Arabidopsis thaliana: one gene and its partners. The protein of the gene in region 4 purifies or fractionates together with the protein of the main gene of each other region. This does not show direct contact. Each region holds a gene or a part of one and is shown on either strand. Other genes may lie near its edges.

Evidence for each region.
Region 1: the proteins of AT1G18540 (region 4) and AT1G77940 fractionate together in Arabidopsis thaliana (co-fractionation; one large-scale study listed by BioGRID). This does not show direct contact.
Region 2: the proteins of AT1G18540 (region 4) and AT3G13930 fractionate together in Arabidopsis thaliana (co-fractionation; one large-scale study listed by BioGRID). This does not show direct contact.
Region 3: the proteins of AT1G18540 (region 4) and AT2G40010 fractionate together in Arabidopsis thaliana (co-fractionation; one large-scale study listed by BioGRID). This does not show direct contact.

The regions. Positions count from the first base shown.
Region 1 is NC_003070.9:29,302,480-29,308,825, forward strand, and holds AT1G77940 (Ribosomal protein L7Ae/L30e/S12e/Gadd45 family protein), read right to left. Parts: upstream 2,933-6,346; 5' UTR 2,810-2,932; coding exon 2,789-2,809; intron 2,680-2,788; coding exon 2,574-2,679; intron 2,485-2,573; coding exon 2,383-2,484; intron 1,834-2,382; coding exon 1,765-1,833; intron 1,678-1,764; coding exon 1,637-1,677; 3' UTR 1,385-1,636; downstream 1-1,384. Other genes in the region: AT1G77932 (FANTASTIC four protein, putative (DUF3049)), read right to left, coding at 530-862; AGL67 (AGAMOUS-like 67), read left to right, coding at 4,550-4,734, 5,845-5,898, 5,990-6,022, 6,113-6,131, 6,296-6,346.
Region 2 is NC_003074.8:4,592,553-4,602,002, reverse strand, and holds AT3G13930 (Dihydrolipoamide acetyltransferase, long form protein), read right to left. Parts: upstream 6,237-9,450; 5' UTR 5,969-6,236; intron 5,806-5,968; 5' UTR 5,764-5,805; coding exon 5,731-5,763; intron 5,343-5,730; coding exon 5,249-5,342; intron 4,980-5,248; coding exon 4,915-4,979; intron 4,819-4,914; coding exon 4,733-4,818; intron 4,641-4,732; coding exon 4,600-4,640; intron 4,419-4,599; coding exon 4,363-4,418; intron 4,279-4,362; coding exon 4,204-4,278; intron 4,121-4,203; coding exon 4,028-4,120; intron 3,846-4,027; coding exon 3,606-3,845; intron 3,516-3,605; coding exon 3,443-3,515; intron 3,336-3,442; coding exon 3,235-3,335; intron 3,107-3,234; coding exon 3,021-3,106; intron 2,948-3,020; coding exon 2,872-2,947; intron 2,788-2,871; coding exon 2,720-2,787; intron 2,633-2,719; coding exon 2,566-2,632; intron 2,476-2,565; coding exon 2,380-2,475; intron 2,301-2,379; coding exon 2,198-2,300; intron 2,110-2,197; coding exon 2,014-2,109; intron 1,931-2,013; and 3 more. Other genes in the region: AT3G13940 (DNA binding / DNA-directed RNA polymerase), read left to right, coding at 1-52, 187-324, 471-785, 943-1,356; EIF4A1 (eukaryotic translation initiation factor 4A1), read left to right, coding at 7,746-7,756, 7,874-7,942, 8,027-8,130, 8,221-8,651, 8,733-9,298, 9,339-9,417. UniProt on the Arabidopsis thaliana protein: The pyruvate dehydrogenase complex catalyzes the overall conversion of pyruvate to acetyl-CoA and CO(2).
Region 3 is NC_003071.7:16,706,731-16,714,050, reverse strand, and holds AT2G40010 (Ribosomal protein L10 family protein), read left to right. Parts: upstream 1-3,278; 5' UTR 3,279-3,602; coding exon 3,603-3,860; intron 3,861-3,969; coding exon 3,970-4,038; intron 4,039-4,487; exon of another isoform or gene 4,488-4,764; coding exon 4,765-5,256; exon of another isoform or gene 5,257-5,338; coding exon 5,339-5,473; 3' UTR 5,474-5,672; downstream 5,673-7,320. Other genes in the region: AT2G40020 (Nucleolar histone methyltransferase-related protein), read right to left, coding at 1,198-1,454, 1,542-1,686, 1,859-2,056, 2,151-2,288. UniProt on the Arabidopsis thaliana protein: Ribosomal protein P0 is the functional equivalent of E.coli protein L10.
Region 4 is NC_003070.9:6,375,295-6,381,988, forward strand, and holds AT1G18540 (Ribosomal protein L6 family protein), read right to left. Parts: upstream 3,287-6,694; 5' UTR 3,255-3,286; coding exon 2,998-3,254; intron 2,789-2,997; coding exon 2,682-2,788; intron 2,594-2,681; coding exon 2,412-2,593; intron 2,310-2,411; coding exon 2,154-2,309; 3' UTR 1,963-2,153; coding exon of another isoform or gene 1,489-1,962; 3' UTR 1,345-1,488; downstream 1-1,344. Other genes in the region: TET11 (tetraspanin11), read left to right, coding at 1-263, 576-884; AT1G18530 (EF hand calcium-binding protein family), read left to right, coding at 1,489-1,962; AT1G18550 (ATP binding microtubule motor family protein), read right to left, coding at 6,362-6,394, 6,510-6,694.

The DNA of each region.
Region 1 (6,346 bases), about 23 Mb from region 4:
TTTGGAAGCTTCTATAGCTACTTCAAGTAATTAAGCACATGGTACTTGCTCCCTCTCTGTCTCTCTTGTAGTATAAACATACATGTAGATAATCATATTTGACAATTTACAAGATCTTCACTGCACGGTTCATTATTAAAAATAAGACAAGTACCAATACATACATCCTGAGAAACAGAACAGAGAAACATCAATTGCAATGACCAAGAAGACCTAAGCAGAGCAAATCAGACGGAGCAACAATGAGTAGGGCATATACCCAAATCTTTAATATAATTATCATATTATAAACCTTAATTTGGGCAAATAGCCATTTCAGCCGGTAAATTACAACCACTTTCTTTCAGTTTCGGAGATTATAGGAACATGAAAATAAAAGAAACCACCAAAACTAAACAGAACGGTGATTGAGAAATCAGAACATTGATGATATTTTAGTGAATAGGTTAAACATGTTGAAGGCTTCAAACTTCAACGTAACTTGCCTTCCAAGAAAGAAAGTTGCCTCCATTCAAGATAGTGATGATCATCAACAATTCTTAACATCCGAATCCCGATCATCATCTTCATCAAGAGAGACGAGCTGGATCATGAGACGACCGTTGGATCTGTGAGCTCGAAAATACTCGTTGCGACACACTTTCTCTTCCTTGAGTAAAAGCCGACCATCACTCGTGTACTCTCGCTTCAGCACCGACGGCACGTGCGACGGCAACATTGGAGGTGACATTATCTCACGCGCCACTGTCTTTTTCTCCTCTCTTCTCTCACATGGCAACTTGACATCACCGGTCTTGTCGGAGAAAGCGTTGAAGCAGCTCTCTTTTCCAATGTAGCCTCCGTTGTAGGAGAGAGATGACATCACGATGGTCGAGTTTTCTTGGTAGTGAGAACTGAGAGCGATGTTACCAAATTTTGAAAGCTCTCTCTGTGTCTATAGATCGAGTTAGTGAGGTTGAGTTAAATAGGAGTTAGATTCATCCATTCTTTTACTTACATTTTGGAAGTTTTCTTTATGAGAAACTAAACGATGTATACAGAGAAAGAAATACGTAAAAAGAGGAAAGAAATACAGAAACACATGTGAATATCTATCCATTAGTTAAATGGATAAAATGACCAAAACAAGAATAACTTTGTTTCACCAAATGAATAACTATACACCTTGACAACAACAACTGAACAAAAACAATGGTTTATTTGTCTCCATTTTTGTCAGATGTGTATTTTGACACATGCCCCTTTTTTGGATGATCATATCCGTACTAATCAAATACTATAATAAAACCATGACACACATGTCTCTACTACGTTACTATCCAGATTCAAACTAACATGATTGTGACTACAATCAAACCAGTATTAGGTTTAGAAAAAGGAGTAATTTGTATTTGATCGTTTTCAGTAGTAAGCGACCTTCCTGTCAAACAAACTTATTGGCTTATTTTCAAGAACCATGATGAGAAAATGCGTAAACTTGTGTTGTAAGCTGCTTTTAAAGAAATTTCTTTTCCGGTCCTCAATATAAGAAAACTTGACAAAGAAGAAACACAATGTCTATTGCTCATAAAATTTTGAGAGACTCGAATACAAAGACGGGTAAAAAGTCTGGGAAAAATAAAATCTGAAAATTGTATCACTGGTCACCAGGAATTGACTTGATAATGTCAGAATCACCTGAAACAAGTCGAAAGACAAAATCATTAGTAGATCTATCAATGAAGAACCAGCAGCAATATATAAGCAAGTAGCTAGCTCTTTTACCAGGATCAACAATGCTCAGACAAGAAACACGGAAGTACTTTCCGCAAGCTGTTCCCAAATCAACGTTATCTGAAAGCCATTAACAAGGAGAGAAGAAAAACACAGTTAAGCCAAAGTGGTAGATACAAGAGGAATAACCGATGAATGAGCGTTGAAACATGAAACTATGTTCAATAGAATAAACATTCATCTACTTTCTTTGATGAAATCATCAAGATAATGTATTAAAACGCTCCTTCGAGTATTATCATCGAGCAAGATCAAGTTTTGTCTAAGAGTCAAAATCTAACAATGCGAAATCATAGACCAACAGAGCAATCTTTGGTATTATGAACCATGTCAATATTTGCAATAACCACATACAGAGACACCAACAGCAGTTCAAACCGATCGTGAACTTGCGAAAGATCAAGACTTCACGTCAATATACATTACAGTTTCTTCGACTTGAGATCATACTTCCATCATCAGTTTAATGGTCTATAGAAGCAGATTTTAACACTTTCATCTACTTAAGATTATACATTCTCAGTTATTATACACAATGAAAACCTTCACAAAAACAAGAGAACAATGAATCTTTAAAAACTGGACGAGCTAAAGAAGAAAGGAACTTACTTCCATTGTAATGGTGGACACCAACTTTAGCGAGCATTGCGTAGTACTCAATCTCTGATCTTCTCAACGGTGGGCAATTGGTGGAGATTAGAATCAGTTTCCCTGTGAACATAAGCAAAAACCAGAATCAATAACAAACTACAAAAAGCTAAAACATTTAGGTATGCAGACCAAGTGTTCGACGCAATTACCTTTGGAGCCACGGAGGGATTTGAGAACAGACTTGTAACCAAGAGTGTATTTACCACTCTTCATAACAAGAGCCAACCTACTGTTGATACCCTCATGAGACTTCTTCTGCAATTAAGCAATAAACCCAGAAACATATTAGTACATTGAGATCGTAAACGATATCTAGATGATGAGGAAAAGGGATAAAACTTTGATGGGAGAGAATAAGGCGCACCGTTTTCTTTTCCGTCACCATTTTCGCCGGCGATGGAGTGTAATCAAAATGTCTTGGATCTGTGCGGTGGAGGAGAAGAGGAGCACGATGACCAAACCGAAAAAGCGCCGCTTCGTCACCTTTTTATAGTCCGTGTCAATTTTCTAGGGTTTTTGCTCTTCAATTTATTGGAAATTTCAATTATGCCCTTAATGTTTCTATAGTTTTGTAATTTGTCAATTAAAAAAGTAATTACTCGATTTATTCGTTTCAGTGAATTGACAGTGATTAAATTAGCATAAACCACTTGTACATTCAACATTTTGTCGACATGAAACGTATTTGAATTACTTTTTAATTTACAAAATATGCAGAAATAAATTGGATAATTGGTAAACATATATTTTTTATATTTTTTTTTATACTTTTATTAGATTATTCAATGTTTCAAGTTTCAACAAGTTTTGTTTGTGGATGAAAAAAAATTCAAATTACTTTTCTATTTTCTTTCTATCGGATTCAACGTATAAGTTGAATTCTATAGAAATGGAACGAACTGATCAATCTCAGTTATGACTAGTGTGACAAAAGACAAAGTTTAACAATATTTATTTAATTAAGATAAATTGCTAATTTTAAGTGTTAGATTTTGGTAGACAAATATTAATAGATAAATTATAATTAATTATCTTGGAAATTAAGAAACAAGTAATCAAAAGTGGTTTAATTTTTATTATGATTTGAAGAATTAATAGAATAAGTCGAAAGATGTAAAAATATTTATATACACAGAGCAAACTTCACATTGAAGATCTCTCTCTTTTTTCCCCCTCTATGTTAATATCATTCCCCTTGTCGGCACGTAACAACAACGACCGAGACAACACAAACAAACAAATCCCCCACGTGTCGTAAACTGAGACCAGGTGGTCGTCATGTACAATATTTCTATAAAATATATGGTAACATCAAGAATTATTCCATAGAGCCCTAACCTAATTTGCTTCCTTTTGAAGCTCCTTCATCGAGAGGCACCTTCGTTATAAGCTTCAACTTCACTCGCTATATGTATACCCATCATGTCTCTCTTACACCATCTAATATCTCATACACACCATTATAATGTGTAATGGATTGTGCTTGTTTTGTTGGGTTACCAATAAATTCAAACACATGTACATGTTATTGACAAAAAGAGAAAACACATAAGGTTTGAGTCTTTAATTTCACAGAAGAGAAAACACACAGTGTATATACAATGTACAAATCACACTAGCTAGAACAAGCTATATATAAAAATTAGAGGCAGACTAGGAAATATATATGTGTTTGATGTATTTACTATATATATTATCCATACGCATACGCACCCACGTATATATGAGCCTTTAGGCAAGTGCCAAGAAACCTATAATGTTAAATATGAACATTGAATAAAATACATCTTTTTTTTGGGTTAAAGTTTTAAGTAACAACACTTGGTTATATAATAAGAGTAAACTACATTTTTACAAATATTATATAAAATGAGTATAAATGTAAGGGATGTACCTAGCCATATGGCAGATTCGTCTAAATTAAGATCAAAAATTCTATCCGCTCACCATTTGTAACTCTCTCTCTCTCTCTCTCTCTCTCTCTCTCTCTCTCTCTTAACACAAACCTAAAAACTCTCCTTTCGTCGACTCATTTACTTAAATATACAATTTTGCATTCGATCAATTTCTCTCGTGCCAACTAATAATAGATTGTGTTTTGATTATTTTGCAGTGACCATCGGATATGGGTCGGGTTAAATTGGAGTTAAAGCGTATAGAGAAGAGCACGAACCGACAAATTACGTTCTCAAAACGTAAAAAAGGTTTAATAAAAAAGGCTTATGAATTGTCAACACTTTGTGACATCGATCTTGCCCTCCTCATGTTCTCTCCCTCTGATCGACTATGTCTCTTTTCCGGTCAAACAAGGTATGTCCATTTCTTCTTCTAGAACGTTCCATGCTCTTCTAGAATCTTCTCCTTAGGCTTTTTCATCTTAATTAAAGTGTAACCATGTTTTGCATATACATGTACTGTCCATATCATTTGATTAAAAGACAAAACGGACAAGCCATATATTCTTTTTATCAAAAAAAAAATTGTTGGTGGAAGCCACCGAATAGTGGATCTGTATTTTTTGTACTACGTAGTAATTTTGATTTTTTCCCCCACTGCTTTGTTATTCAGTATTAGAGGTGCAACTGAGGGTTGACACGTTTTTACATATTACTGAAGATTTTAGTATATAAAAGTTGCAGAACATTTCAAAAATAGTAAGAGTTTCAGGATTTCTTATGTAAATAGAAAAAATCGCTGCTGCGCTTTTCTATAAATAACAACAGAGTTCGGGGTTATTTAGTAAATAGTAAAGGTATCGGATGTTTTCGGTAAATAGAGAAAGTTCCGAAATACTTTGTAAATAGCCCCGGAACTTAAAAAATAAAGAAACAGTCCGCAAACAATCTTTAATTTTTGTTGTCAATTTGTTACAAAATAAACAAAAAAAAATCATTAGAAAACACCACAAAATCAAGTGTTATATTAGCTTTCCAGTCGATTTAACATATAAAATTTCCACTTGTTAAACATTTTGAAGGATTTTTTGATAAATTTTCACCATTTGCTATTACAATAGTATATTATTTGTTATTCCGACATGGCCATGCTCTGCTCTCTAGTCGATCAAGTTCGTACTATATGTGGCACTCCAAAACGAAACACGTCGTGTTTCAGTGACATCGGTACATGCAATGACTCAGTGTGAGGCCCATCAAATAAAACTTATCATTATATGGTTTTTTAGAAATTAAAAGTTGAAAAACAATTTCTTCATTAATTGTAAAATAAGAAAACCAACCGATTCTACTTATACATAGCTTCTTCTTTCCTTCATTCACCGGGTTGCTCCCACCGTTTTCTCTATAAGACTTGGTTTGTTCTCTGTCTTCTTCAACGATACATAACATCTATGAAAATATATGTAAATAAACACATGCACGATGTTGTATCTCCATAATCTTAGTCTTGAGTTGATTTCAGGATCGAGGACGTTTTGGCGAGGTACATCAATCTTCCTGATCAAGAAAGAGAAAAGTATGTCTATAATCATCGCATTAGTGTACTTGGTTTATTAATTTCTGTATCCACATGTAATTTATTTTTGTATTTTTTGATAAAATTTCAGCGCCATAGTTTTCCCTGATCAGAGCAAGCGCCAGTGAGTATCATATAATTCAATTTAATATACTAGTACATACTTTATTTCATATATTGTTGTGTTACTCAACTCTTCTTCTCTGTTTTGCAGAGGTATCCAAAACAAAGAGGTGAGACTAATCCCATAAAAAAAATATTAGTATATTGGGTCCATAAGCTGTTACCAAGTGTATGATTATATTCTAATTACATATGAATATTTAAGTTTTTTTTTTTTGAACAAAGTTGAATATTTTAGTGTTTAATCAGCATTTTTTTTTTTCGTGTGTGACAGTATTTGTTAAGGACTTTGGAAAAACTCAAAATTGAGGATGACATGGCTCTC
Region 2 (9,450 bases), on a different chromosome or scaffold from region 4:
TTTTAATAGAGAGGCTAAAACTTTGAGGATTCTTCCTGTTGCTCACAATAAGGTTTAAATTCTGTTACCTTGTTTTGATTTTGGTGATTAATTGGTTTGAATTAGTTGGAATGTTTTGAGTGTATGGTTGTGAATAGAAAAGAAATGATTTTTGAGAGTTTGAGTTTGGTTTTGTGTTACTTGTAGATAATCAGATTGGAGCCTAGAGTTAAAGCTCAAGAAACAAATGAGGAAGAAGCTTCAGGAAGTGCTGTCGTCAAAGAACTTGAAGAACTAAAAACAGGAGAACGCGATCGTTATAATACAAAAAAAGCTGTTACTCGGGTATGTTACTACAGCATCTGAAAACACCAATTCTACTGTTTCCTACAGTATCTGTCTTATTGGTATCCAGACTAGTAGAGAACTGATTGTCGTGAGATTCGTTGGGAGGATTATATGTCTGAGTGAGAATGTGTGTCTCTATGCAGGATAAGAAGAAGCGTGCCTTATATATGGGAGATGATGCTGCGACTCAGAAGGTCCTTGATGGGAAACTAAGTGAGTTAGGTGTTAACACAGCTGCTCTTGAAGGCACCAGTTCTACTGTTGCACGCAACATTCCTCCTTACAATACCGCTGCAACGACTGCAAATGAAGCTTATCCCTTAGAAAAGATCATTGAAAAGGGGGATTGGAGTTTTCTTGAAGATATTTACTGGCTTCTGCAACAGGAAACTGAAGCAGCAACTGAGGCTTACCCTGTATTTGTCCGCAACAGATTGTACAGATTGCGAGATATCAAGGTAAAATTATGACTATTTTCTTGGATGCAAAATATTTTATGTTAGCTTGCACCACTTTCGCGGTTTGCTCTGATTAAATGGATTCTGAACTTCTCATGGTTTTATCTACTGCTCAGAAGATTCTTTATGTATGTATGTCATTTTGTTACATATGCAGGACGATATGAAAAAGCAGACGGTTTGTGGTGCTGCAACGCTTCTCACCCATCTGGTTAAGTTCAAGGACAGAAACTCAATGAATGGTTACGATTCCGCTAAAGACCACAAGATGCCAGACATCTTCCGTCAAAAATTCAACAGCATGTTCAAGGATTCTGAATCAGATAGGATACCTGTTGACAAGATCAACCTTCTGATAAGCTACGTTCTTGTGCTATCCCTTCACGTGGATAATTTCATGACCGATCCAGAAGACATAGCAAAAGATCTGAGGATAAGCACAGTTGAGCTGAGGAAACATTTTCTACAGCTTGGCTGCAAATTCCTGAAGCAGAATTCTACTACGGTTGCTACCTTACCGACCCCTCTCAATTTCCCGGAGGTTAACCGGAGGCGCAGGGCACGAAAGTGATGACGATCTAGGAGAAGATTTTGTTCTATCTTTACATATTTTCTGCTATTTTAATGATATTTCTTTGACGGTCTGTTGAGATATTATAAATTGTTTTAGTTCCTAAGACATCTGTTTCTTGGGTTTAATGATATATGATGTTTTGGCATTTAAGCAAGCAAACTGCTCTAAGTCCATGATAGTGAACTAAGTGACATTTTATTAGAAGAAAGAGATATTTATTGGAGTTGATTAATAAAATTAAGTAAATGGGTTTTATTTTGCCAACCCATGATGAACAAGCATTAAGCCAAAAAACAAGTGCACAGTGAAATTGTTGGATTCCTGATTTTATTTTGAGACAAAAATCTGTCAACTCAATGATTTAAAGAATAGCAAAACACTCAACTTTAAAGGCCATTGCCTACTGCTGATCAAATCTGGTAGAATATGTTGTGGGAAAGAAATTTGAGGTCAGAAGACTCTTATGAGTTTAGCTTTTGATGTGTGTGTGCGTCTGAATTTTAGAGCAACATAGATTCTGGGGTCTCGATGTAGCCCTTGAATGCTTTCAGCCACTCGGCTCCAATTGCACCTGCACAGGAAGATGACTTATTAGACGTTTTCGATGAGGTGATGATTAATAATGACAATAGGAATGAGAGGCGGATTCTGTACCATCTATTACGCGGTGGTCACAGCTTAGTGTTACAGACATGTATGAAGCAACGTTGTATTGGTCTGGACCAGTACCGGGAACAACTCTCTTTTCAGCTGTTTTGAGATTCAGACACCAACACTATAATAAGTTACGCGGAAGAAACTTCAACGGATAAAGTGGATGAGTATGCTAAGGACTTACCAGATCCGATTGCTAGAATGGCTGCTTGAGGTGGATTGATGACGGCACAGAACTGTTTGATGCCAAAAGGTCCCCCCAGGTTGGAGACTGTGAATGTTCCTCCCTGTCAGAAGAAACAGTTTGAGCTGATTTGCTTTCACAGCAGTATTATGCTAGTGAGATTGACCGAATTCTAAACCAACCTCATAATCTTCCGGCTTCAAGCTGTTTTCTTTTGCTTTTTGAGCCAAGAATCGAACCTCTTCTCCAATTGTAGACAGTCCTTTCTTGTCCGCGTCCTGAAATCAAGCAATTAGATGAACTGAGTTTTTCAGAAATCTCAAGTTTCTGCAGAGGAAGGTTAATAACTGTATCAAGAGCTCCCTAACCTTGACCACAGGAACGTAGAGCCCATTTTCTGTTTGTACAGCGACATTGATGTTCACATTTTTAAATCTGTACATAAAAGGAGGAAAATAAGAACCAAGAAACTAGATGATTTGCAAAGTTTTCATGAACCTCTGAAACAGAATATGTACTTACTGGCGGATGTATTCATCTGTCCATGAACTATTGCACTGAGGAACTTTTCGAAGAGCCAGTGCAGCAGCCTGCAATTTCGAAAAAGAAAAGGTTTCATAATGGAGAACAAAATGAGATTTAATTAGACTTGCAAGAAAAGAAGTAAGATGCACCTTAATAACAAGATCATTTACAGATATCCTTTTCCCACCGGAAGCCTCTTGAAATGAATTGAGTTGACTCCTAAGACTGCATATAAAAATAGCTATGTTTAGCATCCACTTACCTAATCAAAATATATGATCTAAAACTTAATACTTACCCCATCATTTTGTCAACACATGTATCCACGGTCAAGTAGTAGTGAGGAATAGTTTGCTTTGAGAATGCCAAACGTGAGGCTGTGACCTGTCAAATTTATACAATTAACAAAACTTCGGAATTCTTGGCTTATAGTACAAAACAGAGAGATATATGGTCGAGGTAATCTAGAAATACCACAAGCAATCAAGATATAAGGTTGTATAGGTATTTGCCTTTCGTATCTGAGTGTGAGGGATGTCAACATAGTCAAGAGCTGGAACCTTTGAATCCACTTGCTTGGAAGGTTTGGCAGTAGTTTCTTTACTGCCTGAAGCTGTACCATAGGAAGATGTATTAGAAATTTAGAACATAGGGATGAGGTAAATTCTGTAACGAGAGGGGAAAATGTAAGAAGAGGGAAGAGCCAAGGATTTCTGATACCTAAGAAATCTTCGACATCAGCCTTCACTATCCGTCCTTCAGGACCTGTGCCTTTAATGCTTGAGAGAGGTACCTAATGTTTTTCAAAGGAAAAGTAGGAAAAACAAATTAGAGATGGAGATCTAACACGAGCTTAACTAATATTTTTCGTCTGGAAACTGACATTATTATCTTCAGCCAACTTTCTTGCAAGAGGACTGGCAAAAATACGATCTTCTGAAGGAGCTGAGCTTGGCTTAGAGATCTTGGCTTCAGGAGCACTGGCTGGCTTCTCTACCTTCTCTTCCTTTGGTAGGGAAGGAGCTGGTTTTGCTTCAGGCGCAGCGGGACCAGTATCGGATGAGGGTGTGTAATCTTTAAACTTTTGAATATCATCTTCATCTTCAACTGTGATAGCAATCACCTAGTTGGACAAAAAAAAAAGGGACCATTTATATGTGATTCTACAAATGAAGATAAAGATCTTTGTCATTTTTATTGAATATTCATTGATCTTCAACTAAAGGGAGCATAGGGCTCACAATCAAATACTTCATGAGAACCCATTATAATTAACAAGTCTCCAAAAGTCAGAAACTCTCATACCTCCCCAACTTGAATTTCTTTTGCCCCCTCCTCCTTTACTATCTTGGCGAGAAAACCCTCTTCCATGCATTCCATTTCGACTGTTGCTTTGTCCTAAAATATTAAGATTGAGATAAGTGTTTTATTCCTGGCATAAGAATCAATACAGGAAGAGATTCAATCAGGATTATCATTACAGTTTCAACTTCACAAAGCACTTCACCAGGAGCAACTTTATCACCTTCTTTCTTCAGCCACCTGGCAATGTTACCCTGAAGTTTCAACAGATATCTTTAGTAGAATGATAAAACAATAAACCATGTTAATTTTCGTAAGAGGTATTCAGAGGTACATGCCTCAGTCATTGTTGGCGAAAGAGAAGGCATTCCAATCTCTTGATGAGGAGGAAGATCTGAAACATATTTTAAAAAGTTATCAGTAAAACAAACCATGTATGCTGCATATACACAGTGACAGAAATATGATGGCCGCAAAAGGCACAAAAACCAAGTCAGATGCTCACAAAAAAAAGTACAATTCAAGTGAAAATATATGTTAGAACAAGCGGGAAGTTACAATAAAGAACTAAATACCTGAACTGGATGAAAATCCTCTCACTGATCGCATCTGGGAGCTAAAAGCAAGAAAAGAAGCTTACAGTTAGGATAGAAGTATTCATACAGGAAGGTAGCAAGTTGTATTCTCATCGGTAAATGGATTACATACCTTATAAATTCTTTAAATAGTTTTGGTCCTGCCATTGGGCTGCTTAGTTTTGTGCTCGTTGTTGAAATACCACTAAGCATTGTTACCTATATAATGCAGCTAATGACATTACGACCAAAAAAACACAGACGATTACGTGACAAAGCAAAGACGAGAAAGGAAACTGAACAGCAGGGACTTACATTGCCAGTACCACATTTTGAAATTCTCTCTACAGAGGAATAATTCAGGCGGGCCTTGAAGATATCTGAAGACCAAATAAAAATAGAAAAATAAATGCTTAAGCGAGAAGCATAATATATACTCAAAACATACCAACTTTCAATTAATTAAAGTTGGAACGTTGTTATGTTCTTCATGTTGAAAACGATGTGAAAGTCAAACTTGGACTATTCATCCCAGAGTACTGTGTGGTGCTTGTTACCGTATCAAATAAAAGAAACCACCACACATTTCTACATAAAATGAACTTAAGGATAGCAATGAAGAGGACACTAAGAAAGCTGACTGGATTACCTTCTCTTCCAACGAGAGAGGGGTGGGTACTGTTGGAGAAACAGCGGACTGCCACAGCATGGTCACGCCGCAGTAAAGCGGAAACATGTTTCAACTGGTCAGATAACACAACAATCGTCAAAATAGTGTTTACAAAGAGCAACATACAATTACTCTGCTGTAAAAGTAGAGTCTTCTTGTACTAATAAAATGAATAGCTAATACCACAATTGAATCATAAAGCGAAGCTACTACATTAATCACAATTCAGATTACAAGGAGGTTACTAAAGCTCTCAATAGCAAAATGCAGAATTGCCCATGATCAAATTAAAAATACCAAATTCATGATTAGATTAAGTCAAACCCGGAAAACGAACCTCAGTTCAGAAAAAAATGATTGGCAGAGCAAAACACATAAGAACGAATGCATAAACTCAGTTTTACAAGATCAAAAATGGTAGTCAAACCACAGAAAAAAATGAAAAATAGAGAAAGAGAAACCTTTTTGGAATGATTGATGATACGAGAAGCCATTGTTGTGCAATCGGAGCTGCGTCAGCCGATCCGAATTCGCAACTGCAAATAACAAAAAAAATGGTGGGAATGTTTGTTAGGGGGTTTCTCCTTTTTCCCTCGGCAACTATATCAGAGATCGAGATCGATGAATTTGACTTGTACTCAATCCAATTTTGAAACAGTAAATATGTGGATGGAAGATAGGATTCGATCTAGAACTCACCAAGAGTCAGAAGAACGGTAAATCGCAGTATAGAGAGTGAAGGATCACTTGGAAGAAAGCTGGGATTTGATGATGATGATGAAGATAGTTTTGTGTTTAGGTTTTTCAGAAATGGCAAAATGCTGCCTTACATGTACCAGATTGTATCGTACCAACACCAATTCTACCATAACCGATATAAAAGTATTTAAACCGACTAATTAAGCTTCACAAATTTCGGTTTGTACTTTATTATATTGGGCCCTATTATTATTCTCTGAGCTTTTGCGTCTCACCAAAAGACAGAGATCATCAGGTGCGTTAGTGATTACGTAGGCATCTAATGAACGGCAGGGATTAGTCAAACTTATTAATGGGCCTAATCTTTGGCCCATCGTTTTCCCTCGATTCCTGTCACACAAAAAACTCCTAGCTCTTCCTCTACCTACACAAGCTAAATACATATTTTTTGCTTATCCTAAGCATCATGATTATGTTTTGCCCTCTCCAGCTTTTTCTTCAATGGCAACAGATTCTAAGAAAGTCTCTTGAGGCTAAAATCAAAGCATTTTTTGTTGAAGATAGATAGCAACTTGCTGCTTCTTCATACTAGCTAGTTACCTTCTTCTTACTCAATGTGTTTTGCTTCGTTTCAAGGATTCTTCATATCACTTGTGGAACAATTACATGATTAAACATTCAACATAGAGAGATAGATGTGTTAATAAGTAAAGACATTTTCAGATAAAACGTTCTTATCAGTCACTTTATTCTTCTAATATCCTCGTTGTAATCGGGAAAATGCTTTGTAACGTCAAAAAGCAATAAAAGTTGCAGGAGAAAGAAAGCTTTGGAAAAGAAAATAAAATAAATGAAGAATATTTTCTTTGCTAGTCACAAAATAAATGAAGAATTTATGTTCCTAATTTCCCACTAGATATTTGTTTATTTATTTTTGCCAAAATCAAGTTAAGACAATGAGCTAAGTGTTGGAAAACCTTGTCCGAGCCAAAAGAGTAAAAAGAAAGGGAATAAAGGGGTAAAACCGGAAATCCGAAAAAGAAAAGGAGAAGATTTCCAAAGGAGAAAACCCTAAAGACGGAGTATATAAACAAGGTAACGCGTTTTCTCTCAGCCTCTTTCGGATATTCCACCAGTCTCTCGCAATCTTCGCTCTTCTCTTTGCTCTCTCTCTCTCAACGCGGTTCAGATCCGAGTTTGGGAGATTCAAGCTCCCTGAAAAAAGCCCTTTACTCTCGCTTACCAACTTTGCTCCAGGTTCGCATCCTATCGGATTGTCTATCTATTATCTCGATGTAACTTTTACGATTCATGATTGTTTCTTTACTTTTGGATTGTTCTGATTTGTTTTTTTGTGTTTTCCGATAGATTTGGTTTCAACTTTGTTGAGTTGATTTGGAAGTTTTGATTTTTCGTTACTTCAAGATCGTTTTTTTTGCTGTGGAAGTGCTTTCGTTTTTGTTCTCTTTATTAGATTCTGAGCTGCTGATGATGACGATTATTAAATTTAGGATCTACACATCTGTAGATTTGTTGATGGGTTTGTAGATTTTGTTACGGCTAGGTTAGTCTCTCAATAGAATGAAATGAATCGTCTTCAAAGCTCAGATGTTCTTGTCTTAACACTCACTTGGTTTTGTCTGATTGAATGTTTTTTTTTGTAATTTGGAGAAATAGGTTGAGTGGTGTCTATGTTTAATAGATAACCATATGTGCCTTTATACATTTTCTCCGCACATCATCTGAGGCAGATATTAATGCTTGTTTTCCTCTCTTTATGGACTTCGAGTTTGGCTTTCTTGTCACATTTCCTCCTTTGCAATCATATTATTAACGATATCAAAATAGGTGTTGTCTCTCTTCCTTTTGATATGAAATCTGATTGTTTTTGTTCTTTTTATGTAGCATGGCAGGATCTGCACCAGAAGGCACACAGTTTGATGCACGTCAGTTTGACCAGAAACTCAATGAAGTGTGAGTCTTTTTACTTCTGTTTTTTCATTCTTGAGTGTGTTCTCTCCGCATGCTCTAGCTGCTAATTGTACTGTATTGATACAGACTTGAGGGACAAGATGAGTTCTTCACATCCTATGATGATGTTCATGAGAGCTTTGATGCCATGGGTCTTCAAGAGAACCTTCTCAGGGGTATTTATGCTTATGGTATGTGTGTAGGAACTTGAAAAAGCTATCTTTTGTGATTTATGTCTTAGATTAGAACATTATCTCATGCGTGCTTCTGTTTTTTCTTAGGTTTTGAGAAGCCTTCTGCTATTCAGCAAAGAGGAATCGTCCCCTTCTGTAAGGGTCTTGATGTGATTCAACAGGCTCAGTCTGGTACTGGGAAAACAGCAACTTTCTGCTCTGGTGTCTTGCAGCAGCTGGACTTCTCCCTTATCCAGTGTCAGGCTTTGGTTCTAGCTCCAACTAGAGAGCTTGCTCAGCAAATTGAGAAGGTCATGAGGGCCCTTGGTGATTACCTTGGTGTCAAGGTTCACGCCTGTGTTGGTGGAACCAGTGTCCGTGAGGATCAGCGCATCCTCCAAGCTGGTGTCCATGTTGTTGTTGGAACTCCAGGGCGTGTCTTTGACATGTTGAAGAGGCAGTCTCTTCGTGCTGACAACATCAAGATGTTTGTTCTCGATGAAGCTGATGAAATGCTCTCCCGTGGTTTCAAGGACCAGGTATGCAAATATTTCTCAGTGTTTCAATTCCATTCTCGTTATAGTTTAACTTGAATCTCACTGGTTTCTGGGTTTTTTCAGATCTATGACATATTCCAGCTTCTTCCACCAAAGATCCAAGTTGGTGTGTTCTCCGCAACAATGCCACCAGAAGCTCTTGAGATCACAAGGAAGTTCATGAGCAAGCCAGTGAGAATCTTGGTGAAGCGTGATGAGCTTACCCTTGAAGGTATCAAGCAGTTCTACGTCAACGTTGAGAAAGAAGAGTGGAAGCTCGAGACACTCTGTGATCTCTACGAGACTCTTGCCATCACTCAGAGTGTCATCTTCGTGAACACCAGGCGTAAGGTTGATTGGCTCACAGACAAAATGAGAAGCCGTGACCACACAGTCTCTGCAACTCACGGAGACATGGACCAGAACACCAGGGACATCATCATGAGAGAGTTCAGGTCTGGTTCCTCCCGTGTTCTCATCACCACTGACCTCTTAGCTCGTGGTATTGATGTCCAACAAGTCTCCCTGGTTATCAACTTCGATCTCCCAACTCAGCCAGAGAACTACCTTCACCGTATCGGAAGAAGTGGAAGGTTCGGGAGAAAGGGTGTTGCGATCAATTTCGTGACCCGTGATGATGAGAGGATGCTGTTTGATATTCAGAAATTCTACAATGTGGTTGTCGAAGAGCTGCCTTCGAACGTGGCCGATCTGCTGTGAAGGGAGAAAAGAAGTCGGTTCTGTTGCTGTGTTTGCTCTGCCGTACTAGTATCACCGGAGAAGAAAGGTTTTCTTGTTTTGC
Region 3 (7,320 bases), on a different chromosome or scaffold from region 4:
GGTAAGAACTAAGTGGATCGACTTGTAAAAAAAAATTTGAGATATTTTTTGTATTCATGAATTTGTAAATAGTTCATACCAAAAAAATGAATATGTAAACAGTTGACCAATCAATTAAAGACAAAAAAACAGCTCTTTTGTCTTCAAAAATTATATATAAAATGTTAAAGTATTTTTTCATTTTATTTTGTTATATATTTGATCGATCACCATAAATGAACTTTTCAATTATATATTGATGCGATATGAATATGAAAGGAACAATGTTTTCAAGAGATAAACTTCGTTTTTATCCGAAAGAACGGTAACCAATGCTCATATCAATTTATAATGAAAACATGGAGAAGGTTAACAATAACTCTTTTTCTTCATTTATATAATTTTGTTTACACATAAATGAAGAACATGAGTATAAATTTAGGAAAATATTTTGTAAATAAAAAGTAAAGGGTAACTCCAAAATGAAGTGACAGATGATATCATACCATATTCATCACTCCCTTTTAGAGTTGAGAATATAGTGGTATTAAAAGGATTTTTTCTAAATTAGTATTTAGAGTGAAATTTGGAATATAATTGGAGATGCACTTATTGGCTCATGGATTTAAAAAGGGAACAAAATTGCATCAATTTCTTTCTATTCAGGAGGAATTAAGTGGAAAAAAATTTCATTCCATTTATTGTAAAAGTTAGCAAAAGTTGTAACCAAACGAAATACAATATGCTTCCTCTCTCAAACTTTTCCGCTGATGTGTAAAATACAAGTCAAGCTATACTTGCATTTAAGTTTATATGTACAAAAAAAAGTTTATATGTACAAATCAAAAATCAAAAGAATATGAAGTACCGGTTGATATTGGTTCTTGCATTTAGAAGGTATAATTGCAATTAAACCGACTTTCAGATTTGGTCTAACTTTTAGACTGGCTATTCAATTTACTTTAGAGGGATTTGGTTTCCACTTTCGACATTGATCTTTGGATAAGTGGGTTCGGGTACTATTGTATGACTCATACAACTACTGATAAAGACTATCTGCTTTCTCTACTCCATCACAAATTATTAAAAACCAATATCTCAAGAGATGTTAAGATGGGTCGTTTTACCTTTTTTCACCACAATACTATAGCTTACTACTACTATTTGGCTTCCTAACATATATATCAATTTGCTACTTACAGGAGCTCCATAGCTCCTTTACTTGTCCCACCTCATCTCTTTCTTCCTCCTCTTCTGTCCACGTACTTCCCTGAGAAGCTCTTGAAGTTCTTCACAAAGAGGTTCTGGAGTAAGCTGAATGATCTCATCATCATCACCATCACTATCCTCCTCTGGCTCCGTCTCCTTCTCCTTTGGATCCTCTGGCTCGGTCTCCTTCTCCTCTGGATCCGTTTCCTCCTCAGGATCCGTCTCCTCCTCATCAATTAGCCATCCACAATGAAGATTCTCCACACCTAATCAATTATTTTGACCGCAGTAAAAGAATGTTTCATTTCTTATGTTGAGATTGGTATGGATATGAGTAAAAAAGCTTTTATTACCTCGAACAGAACTTTGTGCATAATCTGATGATGCTTCTCCCAAATGAATAGCTGCTGGTGATGGGTCATTGACTGCTTCGCTATTGATTGATAACTCATCAGCTTGGTCTCTTCCATACTCAATATGCATGTCCTGCTCCTGCTCCTGTATTACAAAAGATGGATCATGCTGCAAGTTACATACCATTTGGGTAAACCAAGTTCAAGAATTCTGTCAATGGTTTCTAATAATGCCAGCAAAACGAATCCCAACAATGGAAGCAACAGATTTGTGAACCTGCACAGAAAGAGAACGAGAAGGAAGAAAAACAAATCACCTTCTCTTCTTCGTGTATTTCCACAGCCAATTGATTGGGTTGTTCTTCCTCAGCCATCTCTTCATTGTGATTCTCAGGCAATTGGTTGGCTTGTACTTCAGCCAATTGTTTCTCTTTTTCCTCTTGCTTTTCAAGGCAGATAGCAAGGAGGGGACCATAGCTATCATCTTCAATCAAAAACCATTGGTCTTCGTAGACCTGAAATCCAAAGTGGGTAAAACGTTATTTTCAAGTTGCAAGGAAAATGTTATCAACAACGGAAAAATGGAGACCCTAAAACTAGCGAACAAACCTCTAACAGTTCCTTAATACTCTCACTGATAACATGCTCATGAAACCCAAATCCTCTCATGCGATCTCGTGCTGCATCCTCTCGCATCAATCCAGCCTTCTGCAAAAAAGCAAAAGAAAAGTAGCAATTTAAAAGCATAGAAAAGAGAGATAATCATAGAAGGAAAAAAACAAGAACACCCATCATAAAAAGAAGTATTTGTAAACTTATCTCATCAGTGTTCTCAACGTTGAGTACACAGAAGTCGTAGAGAGAAACAAAATGTTAACTTCAACAATCATGTCATTCAAATACTTCATCTATATAGTCATTCTACTCTAATGTCTATGTCTATGCTTTTATCTTAGTTTTCCACTATACTCTCTAAAAACTATATGATTCAAAAGCTCATATCTTTACTTGTTAGCCAGCATTTTAATTTGGAAAAACAAAACAAAAAAAACAGTACAGCTTATACCTTTCTTCTTCCTCTGGGAGCCATTTGTTGATCCCTCACAATTCCCTGTAGTTTCAGAAGAAATTGGAGGACCAAAAGTATAAGTCTTTGGGTTATAATCAAACAAACAAACAAAGGCAACCAAACAAGTGATCCCTTTTTTCAAACCTATGTAACAACAAAATCAACGAAAGATGAAACAAAACAAAAGTTGAGCTCTTTCCCAAAAATCCCGAATCAGTAACACTAGAGATAAACCAAAAATACCCTAAAATTCAAACCCAAATGAAACCTAAACAGAATCACAACAAAACACAAAAACACGAACTTAATTTTGCTACAGAGATGACAATGTGCTGAGCTGTTTCGTTCAGATTCGATAGGGAAAGAGAGTACTTACGGCGGAGAAGATAAAATCGGCGGCGACTGTGGAAGGTTTCTTAAGAATAAGCCGTGGATCGCCTCCTCGTCTCCCAAAAATGCTTCTTTGAATGAAATCGAATTAAAAAAATAATATAGTATTTGTTTGGGTCAACCATTTTCTCTGTTAAGTCAACCATTTTCTTATTGGTTACTATAAAAAATAATAAAGTATGAATTACAATGAATGGATCTCAGTTGGGCTTGAGATGTGGGTCGAAAGAGCTTTTAGCCCAATAGGAAAAAGATTCATAATGTTAAACATGTTGGGCAATATTGGCCCATCCCATTGATACTACTACAAATAATATAAGCCGTTAGATTTAGGTCATCCCACAAACCCTGACCGTTCATCCTTCCGTCTTCCGATAACTATATAAACCCAAGAAACTTCTTCTTCAACCTTAAGCAAATTCTTACGCAGCTTTTTTTCTTTCTCTCTTCCTTCCTCTGTTAAAAACAGTTACAGAGGTTAAAGAGACAGCGCCAATTCGCGCTGTCCACCTTGTACGAGCTCCAAGCTTCGTCTAGGCCCTCCATTTTCTCTACCCCAAAATTTAGTTTCTTTAGTCTCACTTTATCATTTTTAAGTGGAAATGGCGGTGAAAGCAACAAAGGCGGAGAAGAAGATCGTTTACGATTCAAAGCTTTGTCAGCTTTTGAATGAGTACTCTCAGATTCTTGTCGTTGCAGCTGACAATGTTGGATCAACTCAGCTTCAGAACATAAGGAAAGGTTTACGAGGTGATTCAGTTGTTTTGATGGGGAAGAACACAATGATGAAGAGATCTGTGAGGATTCATGCTGATAAAACTGGCAATCAAGCTTTCCTCAGTCTCCTTCCTCTTCTTCAGGTTTCATTTCTCTTGTCTTGAATAGTTTGTTTTCATTTGGATATAAAGTATTGATTTTTTGGTTTTGTGGAGAATTTGATTTGGTTTGGTGTTAGAATCTATTTAACAGGGGAATGTTGGGTTGATCTTCACTAAGGGTGACTTGAAGGAAGTCAGTGAAGAGGTTGCTAAGTACAAGGTTTGTTTCTTTGGCTCAATTGATGTTATTGTTGTTGTTAAGCTTTAGTAGAGTTCAAATATGGATTGATAGCTTGGAAAGTGAAAGTTTGTATTTTTGAGTTTGAAATGAAATCATATGTGTTCTTGCTTAAAATGCAGCCACATTCTAATTGAGATTATTATGATTCGTTGAGCTTTGAGGAGATTACATTTTCATTGATTGGTTTATTACTTAGTTTGGTTAGTTTTATGCTGTATCTGATTATCTCTAAGTAAGCAAGAATGCAAGGTGTTGTATTATTCGATTTTAAACACAAATGCAAACTTTCACTTTCCAAGCAAATAGGGTTGATTAGATTATAGTACTAGTTATTTTGGTTCATTGAGGTTTGAGGAGACGACATTTGTAGTTTCTGTTTTGTGTTTTGATTGATTGGTTTATTTTTAGCTTCTACTGTTACTTGATGATTTAGTCAGTTTATGATCATCCTTTAACCTATGGCTTTAGGTTATTAACTTGTAAGGTGGATAGGTGATAAAGTTTGCATTTTGGTTTAAATTGGAACTCAAAACCTCTATTTTCTGTCTTGAAACGCAACCACATTCAAGAAACTTACTTGAGAGTCTACTAGTTTCCTAGGCTCACATTTTTGTAGCGTCCTTTCATGTTGTTGGATTGATTGATTTTTTCAACTTAGTCTTGTACTGTTAATTGATGAGAAATTCATTGTCCTTTTTTTGACAGGTTGGAGCTCCTGCTCGTGTAGGTTTAGTCGCTCCAATTGATGTGGTCGTGCAACCAGGCAACACTGGTCTTGACCCTTCACAGACCTCCTTCTTCCAGGTGCTTAACATTCCAACCAAAATCAACAAAGGTACGGTTGAGATCATAACCCCTGTGGAGCTCATCAAGAAAGGCGACAAAGTCGGTTCATCCGAGGCTGCGCTTCTTGCCAAGCTTGGAATCAGGCCCTTTTCGTATGGTCTCGTTGTTGAGTCAGTCTACGATAATGGGTCAGTGTTTAACCCTGAAGTGCTTAACCTCACTGAAGACGACCTTGTTGAGAAGTTTGCAGCTGGTGTCTCGATGATCACTGCGCTTTCTCTTGCAATCTCTTACCCAACCGTAGCAGCTGCGCCTCACATGTTCCTCAATGCTTACAAGAACGTTCTTGCTGTTGCCTTAGCTACTGAGTACTCTTTCCCTCAGGCTGAGAATGTGAAGGAGTTCCTAAAGGTTTGTCCTCTTTCATTTTGCGTTTCAGATATTGGGATTAGTAGTCATGAAATTGTTTGTTAACTGTACATTTATGGATCAGGATCCAACCAAGTTTGCAGTTGCAGTGGCTGCACCGGTTTCAGGAGAGTCTGGTGGAGCAGTGGTGGCAGTAGCTGTTGAGGAAGAAGCTGCAGAAGAGTCTGATGGGGACATGGGATTTGATCTGTTCGGTTAAAATACACCGTCTTATCTTTTGCCAGCCTTTCCTATTTATTTTATGGACCTTTAAAACTTTCACGTTCAGAATTTCTTTGTTACGTTTATGGATATTTTGTTTCTTCATCAAAACTACCTTTCTGGTTTTAATTTCTCTCCGTTGAGGAATTTTCTGAACCCAATTATATTGGTTAACAATGTCATTGTCTGATTCTGTCAGTAACTACGCAAATGAGTATATTTCATCTTCTTCAGTAAAGGTTTCAATAGCTCAAACAGACAATACTCCAGCAACTATGACAGGAACATATCCAACATATAACAAGTTTGGTTAGTTTCAGCTATATAACCAAAAGCACAGTCTACTTTACATAATATTTCAGATTTTACTTCATAGAATATATGTTTCATTCCTTCACTTATCTTCTTTCTTTCGTCGCGCATAGCAACTATGTTGGTTGGTGTGTAGATCTATCTTTAAAAGGTTGCAGCCTTGCTTAGTCCAAATGATGGTTTGATTTTGAAGTGCCAAACCTCACCTATAACAAACTTTCTGAATTATATTATTTTATTATCTATTTATATCATATTATATACTATCTGAATTATACTACAAACTTTCCTTAGATACATATCACAAAATATCATCAAATTATTAAAAACTCTTTTAGAAAATTGCATAGCCTATCCTCATAATAAAATCAGATTATAATTTAAATCAAGTGTTACGTTAATTTATAAACTGTTTAAAGAAGAAATAAAGGGGTTAAGCATGCCTTGTTCTCTGGTAGAAGCACAAACATGCTTTTGTTGATAATTGTCAGAAAAAAACAAGTAAAGTCTATAAGAAAATGGATCAGACTCATTCGAGGCATTCCCATGAGACGAAGAAACATAAGCGTGTGGGAATTGCGGAGTTAAAGGTTGAATATGTCGTGTCTATTATAATAATCAGAATTTAAAAGAAAAAAGAATGAGGAATGTGTTGCTTGATTAACGTCAATTAAGTTAGCTTTTGTATATTTTAGAAGAAAAAAAATGAATATCGGGGCTTTTAGTGGATAAGGACTTTCCTCTACGATACGTTTTTGCGATGACATAAGTATTATTCCAAGTTGTATCCATTTTCGTGCACACGTAAAAGTCAAAAAAAGAGTCCGACATAGGAGAAGAAATGGAAGATGTTTCCATGTTCCCAAACGGATATACATCAAAGTTGTTACGACTTTTTAAAAATAGCGGATATATAGCCACAAACGTCATTGTTCTCTAGTACGAGATTTTTCACAGTTTTAAACTTATTATGTGTATGGAGAGATCACATGGATTGACGAAATATGGTTACCGTCGAAAGAATGTCCCATCAAAGAATTTTATAAGTTTATTAGAGTTTGATCTCATCCACATGCATAATTTGATATTATCTTTCTCATTCCGGCATTTATTGAGGAATTTAGGCAGAGTGATGTGTTCCCATACCAAACTTTATCCGAATCATGCCATCTTAGTATCTTACAAGTTAAACTATAACTAAAAAACAGGATATACTGAAAATCAATACAATTACCAAGGAAATAAAAAAAATACCACTGTAATTGATTGTTCAGGTATCGTTGTCTGTTAAAGTCGTCTTCTAGTATATTGTATTTTCGATTGAGTTTAAACAATTAAATAATGTTTTAGTGAGGCTCAACCAAAATCTTTAAGGCTTCACATAAAAATTAAACTGAGATTTTGGTTTGGGCATGTACCTTCTGGTTCTGGAGTACAAGCCCTTTTTTCCTTAACACCCAAATTAATTATTGTTAATCATTTATTTATTATATTTGGTTTTTGATTTGAAAAGGAATGGATAATGGATAAATG
Region 4 (6,694 bases):
GGGGCATTGTTGCATTGATGATTTTCTCCATATTTCTCTTCTTTGTGACCAACAAAGGAGCCGGTCGTGTGGTGTCCGGTCGAGGGTATAAAGAGTACCGGACGGTGGATTTCTCGACGTGGCTTAATGGGTTCGTTGGTGGGAAGAGATGGGTTGGGATAAGGTCTTGTTTGGCTGAGGCTAACGTTTGTGATGATTTGAGTGATGGTCGTGTTAGTCAGATCGCTGATGCGTTTTATCACAAGAACTTGTCTCCCATCCAGGTATTGTTTTGGATCGATTTTCTGTATGAACATATTTCTTTGTTGATATTTTTGTATAAATATAGTAAAGGGAAGACCAATCAAAGCTTTTGCTTTCTTTAGTATATATATATGTAAAGACAAATCAATAAAAAATAGTCTAGGTTCATTTCATCGTTCTTAGTATGATTAAATTTCATTGTTAAGTTTTTGCATATAGTAACAAAAGCAAGACAATTTTTAGCCGAACTAAGATAACACTTATATGTTAAGCCGTTAAATTTATTGTTCATAATGGGTTGTGTAACTCAAGTATTGATTGTGTATGAGCAGTCAGGTTGTTGTAAGCCACCATCGGATTGCAACTTCGAGTTCAGAAACGCGACGTTCTGGATACCGCCGAGCAAAAACGAAACGGCAGTTGCGGAAAACGGGGACTGTGGTACGTGGAGCAACGTGCAAACAGAGTTATGTTTCAACTGCAACGCATGCAAAGCGGGTGTGTTAGCGAACATAAGAGAGAAGTGGAGGAATCTTCTTGTTTTCAACATTTGTCTCCTCATTCTCCTCATAACCGTCTATTCCTGCGGTTGCTGTGCTCGTCGTAACAATCGGACGGCTAGGAAAAGTGATTCTGTCTGATCAACAACTCAATTTCAGTTTCTTGTGTTTTTCTGTTTTCTTAGTTTGTTTGGTTTTTTAAGTTAATTATCTTTTGTTTTCTTTGGACAATGTCATGTTCTGTTTCTCAACAATTATCATGAATTTATCACATTTCACTAGTCGTAACCATTGGCATTTAATTTTATTTTAAATCTTATGCTTCACATATTTAGTCACAATTCTAATTATCTTTATGTTTCTTAGGACAATGTCATGTTTTTGTTTCACCACAATCAATATGATTTTCTTTACCAAAAAGGCAAAAAGAATCATTATGAATTTTCACATTTCAATAGCAGTACCAATCTAACTCAAACAAAAAAAAAATATGTGGTCTTATCTATTTTTATCAGCAACCATTAACAAACCAACGAAAAAGAAAAGAACAAACAAAACATTAAAACATAGAAAAGATCCAGAATTCTAAATTCTACGTGCTCAAAAAGAAACAAAACTTCAATCTTAAATCTCCTTTCTGGCACACCCTTCATTGACAATCATAACCTCTTGTCTCATCAATCTCTCTCGTCGCCAACATTGATTAATCGATTTTTATTTGTGTTGCTAAAGAAAGAAAGAAAAAATGGAGGATCAGATAAGACAACTTAAAGACATTTTCGACCGGTTCGACATGGACGCAGACGGAAGCTTAACAATCTTAGAACTCGCGGCACTTCTCCGGTCACTCGGTCTCAAACCTTCCGGCGATCAAATCCATGTTTTGTTAGCTAGCATGGACTCAAACGGCAACGGTTTTGTCGAATTCGATGAGCTCGTTGGTACAATTCTTCCTGATCTTAACGAAGAGGTCCTAATCAATTCCGAGCAATTACTCGAGATTTTCAAATCGTTCGATAGAGACGGTAACGGGTTCATAAGTGCGGCTGAGCTTGCAGGAGCAATGGCCAAGATGGGTCAACCATTAACGTATAAAGAATTAACGGAGATGATCAAAGAAGCTGATACAAATGGTGATGGTGTTATAAGCTTTGGAGAGTTTGCTTCAATTATGGCAAAATCTGCTGTTGATTACTTTGGATTAAAAATTAATTCGTGATCATTTCTTATGCTTTTTCATTTATTCATTTTTATAGAAAATCGAATTCATAACACCAGGTCTTAAAGCTAGATTGCTCGAAAATTTGATATATAAAATCAGAGAAAATAGTCTTTAAGATCCAAGGACGATTAAAGATGAAAATACTCAGGGAAACAGATATTCTTAAAATTTGAGAAACAATACGAAATCTAGAAAACAAGCTCATGTGGTTTCATTCCTTGACTCAATGAGAACCTGGCTCCAAGGTAAACCTTGAGCTCTGGGACAGCTTCAATGGATTTGATCAGAGCAGCATCAACGGTTTTCTGGTCTTCCTTCTTCTCCTGTGGGATCTCCTTCTTCTCCTGTTCAACCCAAAGTTTTCAATTAGGTAATGGTACAAAGACAAGAAAACACATAATAACCATTTTTGGATAAAACCAAATATCCATAAGATGATTGTATACCTCTTTCTCAGCTTCGAAGAATTCGCCTTCTGTTTTCTTCTTCTTCTTCTCAGCAACCTTTCCAAAATACTTGTCATCGAATTTCTCAGTGTTGACTCCAGAAATGTCAATCTTTGTGGAGGTTCCAATCACATAGGCTTGGTTAACACGTCTCAATGGAACACCATTAATCTTGAATGGTCCTGAAATGACCAAATCAACAAAGACAAACATTAACATAGGTTCCAAATTGAACAATCAAACCAACACCATCGAGAGATAAGAGTTCACCTGTTACAAGAAGCAAACCAGAAGAAAGTTGCTTGAGGAAGACAACTCTCTTACCCTTGAATCTACCAGCAAGAATGATCAACACAGTTCCTGGAGTGATGCTGGCTCTGCAACACAGAGATAAACAAAACCATATTCATATCAAAAATGAAGCATAGCCATAATCTCTAGGAATCCTACATTTCTAAAAATCCTAACAATTTGTATGGTCTCTCTTATATCACCAGTAGATCCAAAACCATTCTAATACTAGATCTAGCGGAATCAAACTCAAATGAAAATTAAAAACCAATCGAAGAAGAAGATGGATAAATACTTTAGCTTGGTAGGCTTAGGCTTGCGTCTGTTAACAAGCGGCTTCTTGACGTCTTCCGCCGGATAAAACTTGGCAGGCTTCTCAACCGGAGCGTCGACCTTTGGCTGAGCATCGTGACGAGGGAAAACGCCACCGTTCTTGGCCTTGATAGCCCACAAACCTCTCTTGTGGTACATCTGAGACCTCGAATATTTTCCAACTCCCCTGATTAGGTCAGGGTTACGGTTAACCTTGGGAGTCCTCTTCGCCGCCGGCATTTTTTCGGCTTCGGTGGTGTAAAATCTATCAGAGACATAAACCCTAGATTGAGCTTTTATATAGCAGAAAGTAAAAACCTAATGGGCCCTTATGGTCTAGAATACTTTAATATGGGCTTCATATGGGGGTCTAGTGCAAAAGTGTGTTATTGCAAAATATTGGGCTTTAAATGAAGTATTTTTGTACTTACTATTTGGCAGGTAAGTAAAAGTGTTTTTTTGATAAAAATGATATCTATCCCGTTAAACAATTTTGTTCATAAAAATTTTGTTGGATAAGTTATATTTAATCCAATTCTTATACCGGATATTTCATATTTAACAATATACATAATTAGAACTTAGAAGATTTGATTAAAGTTTAAAATTATGACTTTTTTATCATATTTATTTAACTTTTTAAATTGATTTGAATCATCATATAATACATAAAATAAGAGTTACAATTATATCTTATACGTATTATATAGCTTTAAAAAAACACAATACACGACACCAAACATAAGCATAAGAAAAAGAATCATAAAGTATACACTAGATCATAATCTGTATTTGTTTAGCACGGAGAAAAATTTATTTTTTAAATATTTATTTAAAGTTGGATTATTGTCTGTTTTATAATACAATTTTAATCATTCTATACATAATACAAATATTCACTTGTTATAGGGATAGGGGTATGATTTTTTTGGTTTGGTTTGGTTTCAGTTAGGTTTAGTTTTGGTTTTATAAAAACTAAAACCATATAGAAACTATATGTAATTCGATTTGGTTACGATTGGTTTGTACAATTTTTTATTTTATATAAATTAAAACCATATAAAACCATATGTATCTCGACCCATGCTACAACATACAAAATTTTATATATTATATATTTTAAAATAAAATTTATATATTAATTTTGGGATTTTTCTGTTTTGCCGTCGGCATCTCTTAGTGGCGTAAACCCTAATTGACAGTCGAAAGCTTTTAAATATAAGGACGATACCGGCAAAAATAAAATCTAATGGGCCTTATATGGGTTTAATTCAACACTGCTACTCTAATGCTTCCAAAAGAAAACTCCATTCGATAAGGATTTGCTTCCCAGTTCAGGGAGAGGTGAATATTTTTCAAACTAACTCCAATAGTTTGGCATCTTCCTAGAGAGGAAACACCCCGCCTTAGCCACTAGAATATTTCCGACGTAGTTTGGTATCCGAAGTAAACTTTCCTCAACTCCATCCATTGTAGCTCTAAACACCCTAAATTGAGCTTTTAGATAGCAGAAAATAAAAAACCTAATGGGCCCTTATATGGTTTAGAAAACTTTAATATGGGGGTCTCGATATTTTTAGTACCAAAGTGTTTTTATTGCAAAACATTGGGCCTTACATGAAGTATTTTTGTACTTACTATTTGGCGGGTAAGTAAAAGTGTTTTCTTGATAAAAATGGTATCCATCCCGTTAAACAATTTTGTTCATAAAAATTTTGTTGGATAAGTTATATTTAATCCAACTCTTACACCGGATATTTCATATTTAACAATATACATAGTTAAAACTTAGAATATTTGATTAAAGTTTAAAATTATGACTTTTCTATCATATTTGTTTAACTTTTTAAATTGTTTTGAATCATCATATAATACATAAAGTAAGAGTTACAATTATATCTTATACGTATTATATAGCTTTAAAAAACACAATACACGACACCAAACGTAAGTATAAGAAAAAGAATCATAAAGTATACACTAGATCATAATCTGTTTTGGTTTAGCACGGAGAAAAATTAATTTTTAAATATTTATTTAAAGTTGGATTATTGTCTGTTTTATAATACAATTTTAATCATTCTATACATAATACAAATATTTACTTGTTATAGGGATAGGGGTACAATTTTTTTGGTTTGGTTTGGTTTCGGTTAGGTTTAGTTTTGGTTTTATAAAAACTAAAACCATATAGAAACTGTATGTAATTCGATTTGGTTACGATTGGTTTGTACAGTTTTTTTATTTTATATAAATTAAAACCATATAAAACCATATGTATCTCGACCCATGCTACAACATACAAAATTTTATATATTATATATTTTAAAATAAAGTTTCTATATTAATTTTGGGAGTTCTCTGTTTTGCCGCCAGCATCTCTTAGTGGCGTAAACCCTAATTGACAGTCGAAAGTTTTTAAATATAAGGACGATAGCGGCAAAAATAAAACCTAATGGGCCTTATATGGGTTTAATGCAACATCGCTACTCTAATGTTTCCAAAATGAAACTTTATTCGATAAGGAATTGCTTCCCAGTTTAGGGAGAGGTGAATAATTTTTCAAAATAACTCTAATAGTTTGGCATATTCCCAGAGAGGAAACACCCCGCCTTAGCCACTAGAATATTTCCGCGTAGTTTGGTATCCGAAATAAACTTTTCCTCAACTCAATCATGTTTTCAACTGTAGCTCTATCCTCACGGCAGAGATCTAACTCCAAATTATAAACCTTTAGCTTGTTTCTATTGTAAGATAGACGGGCTAGCTGAACAATCTTGGCTGCATGGTTCTCCGATGTGAATTGCACCTCTGCATAGCGTCCTTCCCTACCCTTAATGGTTTGATATGGGTTTCTAGTGGCATGCAAATAATTCTGTTAAAAACAAATAATTTTGTGTAATTTTTTATTTTGTTAACTATGCTTATTTTTAAAAAAAACATATTCATGTATTTTACTATCTTATATGATACACTAAATAAATCTACATATTAAGAAAATAAATTACAAGAGAACAATAAGACAAAATGGTTCATAGATATTTTTAGTGCATATCATCCTTGTTTAGAATATTTTAACATTTGTGACATAAAAGTATTTTTTTTAACATTTACGTTTAAAAAATAAAGACACTAACTTATAAATTTAAAAGAAGAAAAACAGTGAAAGAGGCATTGCTAAATGATGAAATAATAGTAAAAATAAAATTAGTGAAAAGGAGAAAATAATTGTGTGATTGTCATGTATATTCCTATAGAATACAGATGTTAGAAAATAGTGGAGGAAACAAACAAAAAAATAAATGTAGTAAAGAGACAACATCAGATCTGATCTGTCTTCAAACATGTTAATGCTTCATGTGTGGACGAGCAAACCCGGGCTGCACCAAAAACCAAACAAGCATATTAGTGAAGTGTATGTACACAGAATCTTCTTGATGAACAACTTCACTGTTTTAGAGTGTTTTGATTATAGCATCATTGTAGTAAAGTTACCTGAAGCAGTTTTGAAGGAGCTTCTTGATGAACAAGACCGTGGCTTCTCGTTTTCCTTCTATCCAACGCAGGACTAGTATTAGCAACGGTTATGTCCCAAAAGCTTCTCTTTTTAGCTGCTGCAACTGGAGATGCAAACCGATGACTCGGACTTTTCAGTTCCTTTTCCTTCTCCTTTGGTCTCA